2 linked regions of the Daphnia pulex genome follow. The protein of the gene in region 1 interacts with the protein of each later gene in a pairwise test. Links are inferred from orthologs where the notes say so. Each region holds a gene or a part of one and is shown on either strand. Other genes may lie near its edges.

Region 1 (4,644 bases):
TATGAATGTCGTCACAAAAGGGTGGGACGAAGCCGGCCAAAGGGAGACAAAGAATCGATACGAGAAGAAATGTTCGTTGGGGGAGAAGACAAATAATGAGAATGAAACTAAAGGTTAGAAGAACGGCAAGTTTTGATAAACATTTACTCTTCCCATTTCTTACCGTCAAGAGTGAATGAAGTCTGGAACTATTAAGAACTTGTCGCATGCTTTCCACATCCCGCTGAATCCATGGGGTATCCTGGAGAAACTGGATCTCGTCAATACTATCGAGGACAGCATTGACAGCATCTAACGAAATGAAACAACAACAACAAAAATGAACATTTAACCAGCATCCTTTAAAACACGAAAGCATGTTGAAGGGATACTAGAAAACCATTTTAGTACGCGTGAAATGCAGTATGCTGATAATCCGTAAAAAGGAATTCGATCAATTAGCGGGCACACTTCTATTTTAAAATAAACCCAACTTTAAGCTTTCACGTGTTAAAGTTTTATTTACTTGGTATCAAAGTAATAAAAAGTAAATTTCCTGCAATGTGCTCTCCTTTCATTCGGCAGGCATCCAACAAGAGGTGCCAATCAATGAAATCCAATCAGGACGAAAGCCATCCCCCAATAAAAGAGCGGATGTGATCCCCCCGTCCGTCAATGAAAGCCTTTTTTACTAGCGGAATCCTCTTCAATGGAGTAAACCAGCCACAACTCTTAAACCGCAAATGGAAACCGGAGACGACTACCATATGGGATTCCCCCGGTTGGAAATAAAAGCGACTCAATATGGTTCGGAAAGAAATTTACGAGCGATAAATTTAGCATTTCGTTTGAACAAAAACTCAACTATTATCCAAGGTTGGAAAGAATTGGATTTTTGCGTATTACGGCACCGATTTATCGAGGAACACGTATTGCAAGTTAAAATTAAAAATAAGTTATCAAGATTGGTCGTGCAAATCTATGAAGAGAAATAAATCTAAATAAAGCTAGCTGAAGTTCACGGTATCCGGTTTCCACAAATTCTCTTGTTCCTGCGAACGCCCTCTTGCTACACATCCACCAACTGACGTAATTGCTACATACAATATCCCCGCAAACATTCATGCAACTCCAAAGGGGAATCGAAAAATAATCTATTTAAAAGCCCGTAGGTCACTATTAAAATAGTGCGTGACTTACTGTTGGATATTGATTCATCTTCATCAATATCGGAAAAGGCGTCGCAGTTGGGATCTAAAGAAGGATGCCCCCATTTGATGGAATTTGCCGTGGCCACGATCAAACTCTTGAGCTTCCTACGAGCATTGAATATGCGCATCTCTTCTACGGTGAGGTGGAGGTGGTCTCTGGAGGCGCACTTGTCTCGATTCTGAATACAAATCAAGCAGTCAAAGCAGGTTTTGCATTGGTCACGTCCACAAAGGCAAGGAAAAATTCAAAATTCACCTTGAGCCACCGGTGTTCCAAAGCTTCGTGAACCGATAGACGATCGTTTTGGTCGACGCACAAAAGCTGCTGCAGTAAATCCTTTGCGTGGTCACTAATGGCTCCCCAGACTGGAGCATCGAACTGCAAAATTGCCCAGGAAAAATGCGGACAAATTTAGAAGGATCTAGGCTAGAAGGCCTTGAAATAAATTTACGATGTCCACTTACGTGCAGCTCGCCACTGCAGATGGTGTATCTCAAGGATTCGTCTGTCCCCAAAAAAGGTTGTGTTCCAGACAGCAGAATATGGAGCAATACTCCTGCACTCCATATGTCCGACGCTTTGCCATGCGGTCGATTTAAAGCCATTTCAGGGCTAATATAGAAGCTATCTCCCAATCGACCTATACAAAATTAATACTTGAACTAATACTGTACATTGAATGGGAAAACATAACATCAACAATCAGACCTGATGTCACCACATCTTCGTCAGTAAGACGCTTAGCGCATCCGAAACCCGCTAGTTTTACGGGCGCCGAATTTTCTTTATTTGCAAGCAAAATGTTGTGAGGTCGTAAATCTCGATGGATAATGTCGTGATCATGGCAGTAACGGAGTGCCTCAAGCACTTGACGAAAATAATGGCTAAACAAACCAACCAAAGGTTAATGTAATTCCAACTTACGTTTAAGAAGGTAAATTAGGTTACCTTGCTACAGCTTCACTATAAACAAAACCAGATGTGGCACGTTTAACAATTTCTATACACAAATCAGCTCCTTCCATCCTAATTTTTTTAAAAATAATAGATTCAGTCAATCATTACCCATATGTACAAGCAGGAGTGTAAAAACTTACAATTCATACACCATGTACACCATTCCTTCAGAACTGTAGGTTTCTAATAACTCTACTATGTGGGGGTGTTTAAGCATGTGGCATATGGTGGCCTCAAGTTTAAGATCTAAAAATAATTTGAAATAATTAGGGATTAGTAAAGTTAAAAATCTACATTTAAACATACTGTCAAGTGTGAGTGACGGAATGGCAGTAAATTTGGCTGCATCAACAATTTTAACAGCAAAATGTTGTGCTGTTAACCGGTGGGTGCAGCGCCTAATAACACTGCATGAACCCCTGAAATTTAATTTAATGACAAAAAATTATTGGGAAAATGATAAAGTTTAATGATGATGTTTACCTCCAAATAACTTCTTGTAACTCGTAAGCTTCATCAAACAAAATATCATCTTCAGTCATTTTGAAGCTTGTAGAACACTGTTGAGAAAGAATTCAAATTCAGGTTAGTAAGAAATAGAAAGGAAGTGCTGTCATTCTTATTGTGTGGGTGCATTAATTGAGTTCAACCAACCATTTCCTGATCTATCAGGTTCACTTTCAGCCTAAGAAGGAAATGGCAACTAAACACCCTTCTATAGAAAAGTAACCTTAAAGAATAAACATATCTAAAAGAATTTGATTGCAGGTTTACTAAACATTCCCCTCCCCTTTCCCTTGCCATAATAATATTTCCACTAGCATGCTGTTTCCTGTGAGTGCTGCCAAAAAACGCCCATCCCCTTCTCCGGTACGAATATGAGAATTCAAACGACGATGATTTTGATTCTTGATAGTAGATAGGTACTTACATTAGCAATTTGGTCCAAAACAGAAAAATTTCACCAAACAAACGCAACTAATAAATGTACAACAAGTCTTTAAGCCATTCTTGGACGAAGCGTCTTGCCTTGCCCATTACACACAGAGCAGACATTACTTCGATCTTTTCCCTGGATCCCAGCCTAGGCTATCCGCAGCGCCTCTAGTGTCATTCTAAGGAAATCCCTGCGTACTATTTTATTCCTGAAGATCACTATGTTATTGTATTTTTGTGTCTCGGAAAAGCGCTTGATTATTATCGAATTAGACAATTACGTTGGGATTTCAGTTAAAAAGCAATCGTGAGTTGATCTTCTTGGAGAAATGAGCAACTTTTCTCCTAGAGAACAGTTTAGTTCTTCTGTGTTTTTTCATTTTTTCTTTTGAAAATTTAAATGTGAGCCACCATTTTGCGCCGATTAAAGGTCGTGGTCAGAACAAGCTTCGTTAACCTTCCTCCTTTTCGTTAAACCGTGGAAAAAGTGAAGTTGAGCTTTTGTTGTCCTAAAAGAATTGGCGGTTTATTACGATTAACTCACTAAGCGTGTCAATAACGACTTGTCATAACAAGTGCGATAGTTTTTTAAGGTAAATTTTAAAATGCTTACCCGAGGTAAAATTCCTAATGTTTCGGACGGAGCAAACTGTCAAGATAGTGAGGACAAAGAGGATGATGATGAAGAAACTATGAACGATGACAATTCTTCTGAAAAAGATTCCTCTTCGAGCAAAGATGAGCAGAGTGAGTGTAAAGTACCCTTTCGGCCCCTTTCAGCTCTTCAAATGAAGCGAACTCCTTCAGCAGATCGTGCCAACATGTCACCAGTTTTGGTAAGAAAACATTTTCAATAGGCATAGTAGTGTTTTTTTCAATAATTTTTTCTGCTTCCAGACTGGTCAGCGTTCATCAAGATCTAATTCTAGAAGAGGCCAGTTTGTCAACGAAATTTCTTCAGAGGATACTCCATTGTCAAAACGTCAAGTGATGAAAAGTGGAGGAGGCAAGAGAAAGAGGCTAGTCTTGGTCGAACCAGAAGAAACTTCACAGGAAGCAGAAGCAAAGCTCAACAGTGCAGAAGAAAGTCACGATGAAGAAGTAAACAGTACAAACCAAAGAAAGATTTCTGTTGCAGAAAGTGAAACTGAGAAGCATGATGAAAGTCATGATGGTGTTCGCAGGAGCCAGAGAGCAAAAAGACAAATGTACACTTACAACGACAGTTGGATATTTGCTGAAAAAAATGTCAAGGTTAGTGTTATGAATTTTTCTCATGACTAGAGTTATAAGATTTACACTTGCTGAATTTTTAGGGATATCCTGCTGCAATCAAAGAAGAAGACACAGCAGCAGAAGGAAATGACCGAATGCATACTAGACGTCTACGTAATCTCGTCCCAAAACGTCAAGAAGAAGTAGATCAAGACATTGAGGACGAGGAAGATGCTCGTCAGATCGCTAACAGACGTGCACAAATCCGAAAACGCAATAAAGCAAAGAAAAAAAAAGTGTCGCGATACCAGACTTCCATGAACGACCAAGTAATAAATCATCAAA
Region 2 (4,122 bases), on another chromosome or scaffold:
TGGTTGTTTGTTGTACTACCACTTTTCTGTTGATGCGGCCCCTGATGGCCCGGTTGTTTATTTTTTTCCCATTTATTTCAAAAAAAAAAGGGAAAATGAAGAACTTACGTGAGCAAAGTTGGACTGCTTATTGATGGCAGCCACTTCCTTGGTGTTGGCAGCGGCCGGGATGTGCGAGGAGAATTGCGAGACCAAAACGGTCCGGCTCCGTGTCACCGAACGGGCCAGTTTGGCGAACTTGCTCAGACCTTGATGGGGTTTTTTAAAACGCCCACACAATTCCGGAGTTCGTAAATCACGAGCAGCAGCCCACGGATAAAATCAAAAGGAAACCAAAAAATAAGAAAAGAAATTGGGAATTAAATTGAGATATTTATGATATACGGCGCCCTGATGATTGGATGTGACATTGATTTCAACTTATTTGATGTTGGATATACGGCTATAAATAGGATCTCCATGCTAGGATCTTGTATTACACGGTGCAATACATAATCATCATCTGAGCAGTCTATATCTATGTTTTTATAGCCCGACGTATTGGGCATTCGATACTTACGTGGCGTCGTCTAGTATTTCGTCTATTATATTCTATATAACCAAGACTTTCTTTTTGTTCTTACTGGTATGGAGCATGAGGCACATATATATCAGACGACCTATATCGATTTCCCAAGGCTTTTTTTTATTCTTCTTCTTCTTTCAGATTTGATTTTTGCTCATACGTTGCATGAGGCTGATTTGGGCTGTTGCTTTCTGCTTATGTACTTGTCTGTCTGCCCCCCTTTTCTTTCCACAGGTATATATATATATGTAATATTTATTAGTAGACGGCCTTATATTATGGATAGCATTCTAAATATAATAGGCTGAAAGAAGAAACCCCCCTTGAGGCAAGAGAGAAGAAAACGAAAATTTGGCAGGAAAAAAAGAAGAAGAAGAAGATGGCTGGCATTACCTTTGGATTCTTCACTCTCGAGCGGCTGCTTGAGGGCGGTGATGTCACGGAAAGTGCACAAGAAGAGAACGACGACGTCCCGCTCGTTTTTAATGGGCGCTATCTGCAACAGCAGCCACAGCGGAGAACCTGCAGCCCCGATAACGACCAATTATATACACAGCCCGAAAAACAAAATAATATTTCCCTCCATAGAAAACTATAAAGGTATAAATATACTACGACTAGATGATTATTCAAAGATGAGGGAAAATGTACTACGAAATTTGTCGAATAAGAAAAAAAAGAACAAAAAATTGATTCTCCGTTGGCTAATCAAAACAAACAAGTCCGCACCCCGAGGGAAATGATACAACCATCCAATTTGGACGGCGGCTATTTTATTCTTTTCTTTTGCCTTTCCAAAAAGAAAAGACCAAGTTTCTCCTGTTGTGTAGGGACTGAAATATATTACGCCGAGGCATTATTTTCATTTCCCTGTATAGTATGTATATTCCCCCATCCATGCCACCCTATATTTAATTCATGGCCTTCAAAAAATGTTAACAGAGGACGCAAAACCCAGAGGTTGATAATGTCCTCTCCCAAACCAAAACCACAAAAGGGAAAATCTATATACATTTATATCAAAAGTCTCAAAATGTTTGTGTAGTGGTAGAAATCTGAAAAATGGAAATAATCAAAAAGGATCGTACGATTCTTCTTGTAGAGCAAAATCTCGAACTGGTCTTGAGTGTACTGCTCCAGGCACTCGTCCACCCGCTGGATCGTCTCCTTGTCCGTCATCTCGCCGCACATGAACGAACAGCGACACGATTTCTGCATCACCTGTGCACATTCAGAAATTTTTTTTTTTTTGAGGGGATTTCATTTCTTTTTGTGTGTGAACAAAACAAGAACATTTCCAACAAGCTCTGGATCGATGCATCGATCGAAAGCAGACAGAGAGAGAGAGAGAGAGCACATACAAAAATCATTAGCATTTGCTGATGTGCTTCATCTTCCAGTATGGCAGCAGTATAGCTTGTACGCTATATGCCACTACCGGTACATGCATTAGTACTGTGTATAGCTCTCTTATTATTTGTTAGGCTTCTTCGATAATCGATAGAGAGTCAAAAGAACTCGCCCCTCTCAATTTTTCTCTCTTTCTCTCTCTCTCTCTCTAGCTATTTTTGGCAAGTGGAAATCTACGGGTGTAGTATAACAAGCGCTGTTGTATCTTATTAGACGGATAGCAGTCTACAAGCGCGGCAGCAATCTATCTGGTGCATCTTATATATACAGACGATTGAATAAGAATTGGACAGACAGCGGAACTCACTTCTGCTCGGTTGTAGCCAGAGATCTTGCAGAAGGATTCGTTGCAATAGACGATGGGATAGTCGACGATTTGAGCGTTAGCCAGGAGGAAACTGCTGTCGGCTGCCAGTCCACGTTGATGAGCCCCGAAATTGAAAATCCAATCCATCAGTGTCACGTAGCATAGCAGCAGCGGAATTGAGTATAAAAGAGAACAAAAATCGAATTAGTTAAAGGCGCCAATTCAATAGGGGGTGAACGATAGCGTTATTATTATTATATATAGTACAGTCGATTACAGACTGATTCCGTGTGCCGCGCGTGTTATTACGTAACGGCGCAGCACGGCCGCAAGGGCTAATTGGTGCTGGGGCTCTGCTCTCATACGTCACGATAGAAAACAGTTGTGCGACTGCATAATAGTTCGAGTTTCCGTTTTCATTCACCGGCGGACACACCCTTGAATTGATCAAGTTTCGGCCTTTTTCACTTGAAAAGGCAACAACCCCCGTGACTCCGACTCCATGGCGACCAGAGTATATATGTATACATATCCCACACATACACACACTCTATACACAGTATGTGTGTGTATATAATAACTCCTTTTGTGTCTAATATTGTTCATTCATGCATCGCATACTTTGCGCTTCTATAGAGTACAGGAGAGAGAGAGCTAGAGCCTGTTGTCTAAACTTTGGGGCTCCTTTTCTTCCCGTTAGCCATTGATCTGATTCCGCACAATGACACAATCCCGGCTAATTATCATAGACGTCAGAGAGCATTTTACCGGGTATACTATATGTGTATAACATCAACAACATCACTCGCATCAGAGTCATCGAATCAAATTGGGCGCCCAATTTCCCTGATGCGATTTAATCGGCGCCGTCAAAGTTCAACTGGTCTCGTTATATAAGACCAAAGTGAGAGATGCAGTTGCTTCCGTCACTTTGATATGCGCTCCTCTCACCAACCGCCAACAACCGGATCACATGCCAAAAAAGATTCGCCTTTTTGATTATTTGATTTTTGTTTTTGTTTTTTTGTGTTTTTTATCACGCCGTTGCTTGGCAACGCGACGAGCCAGGCGGCAGTTTCTTCTTTTTTACTTTCTTTTGGTTCAGAAAAAAACAAGTCGCCATTTCTGTCTATTTATACAGACAGACGTCCGTTGTTTTTGTTTGGCTGTTGCTGGCCGAGCCCGGCAGGTCCTTATCCTCTCCACTCTGTCTCCCATCCAGCTGATGCGCTTGTTGGTTCTTTGATTATTAAGTTTAGATTCTCTCTTTCTGCGACTGTTGCTCGAGACAAACTCTCCTCGTTTTCACTACTGGCATATGAGTCAACGCGGAGACGATCTCGGGTGTCTGTGTATCAACGCTCGAGGCGCGGACATGTCTGCTGCTACCGCCCAGCTGTCGCTCCGTTTCTCCCAGATTCGGACGAACGGACGGACTGGACTGACAGATTGAGAAAGATGGGCGCCCCCCTCCCTCACCGAAAAATGCAGATACGCTCGTCACAGGCTCGTCATGAAATAAGCCATATCTACTGAAGTGATGAAATATGCAAACTCACCGGATCAAACGAGCAAATGAAATTAGACTGTCGTCTCTAGGGGAGACAATGTTTTATTCACGATGGTAAAATCAAGAAATATCCAATATTATACTCGGTCAAGAAAAAACAAAACGAAATTTTGATTTTCTTAAACTTCCTGGTTTCTATTTCATCCGTTGCCTTGGGAGCCGATTCCCGGAAATTTTTATCAGTCTGAAAAATGTTGAGGACGACTAAGGGGATCTCAAAGGATTTCGAGGTACACAGGAGAGCACCGGGAACGTCGTCCCATGCGACGG

What was found.
Region 2: the proteins of peripheral plasma membrane protein CASK-like (region 1) and potassium voltage-gated channel protein eag-like interact in binary tests that used the Drosophila melanogaster proteins (3 or more experiments, as listed by UniProt). The link is inferred for Daphnia pulex from reciprocal best matches to the Drosophila melanogaster genes CASK and eag.

Annotation. Positions count from the first base shown.
Region 1 is NC_060018.1:1,069,417-1,074,060, reverse strand, and holds the start of peripheral plasma membrane protein CASK-like, read right to left. Parts: upstream 3,225-4,644; 5' UTR 3,080-3,224; intron 2,709-3,079; 5' UTR 2,691-2,708; coding exon 2,632-2,690; intron 2,568-2,631; coding exon 2,455-2,567; intron 2,395-2,454; coding exon 2,289-2,394; intron 2,218-2,288; coding exon 2,140-2,217; intron 2,076-2,139; coding exon 1,900-2,075; intron 1,832-1,899; coding exon 1,656-1,831; intron 1,570-1,655; coding exon 1,447-1,569; intron 1,370-1,446; coding exon 1,180-1,369; intron 292-1,179; coding exon 164-291; intron 1-163. Other genes in the region: ATPase family AAA domain-containing protein 2-like, read left to right, coding at 3,690-3,920, 3,982-4,338, 4,401-4,628.
Region 2 is NC_060017.1:2,828,416-2,832,537, forward strand, and holds part of potassium voltage-gated channel protein eag-like, read right to left. Parts: intron 2,384-4,122; coding exon 2,283-2,383; intron 1,787-2,282; coding exon 1,654-1,786; intron 1,088-1,653; coding exon 959-1,087; intron 249-958; coding exon 109-248; intron 1-108. UniProt on the Drosophila melanogaster protein: Structural component of a potassium channel. Mediates the potassium permeability of membranes; potassium current is regulated by CaMKII and CASK. Has a role in growth of the perineurial glial layer of the larval peripheral nerve.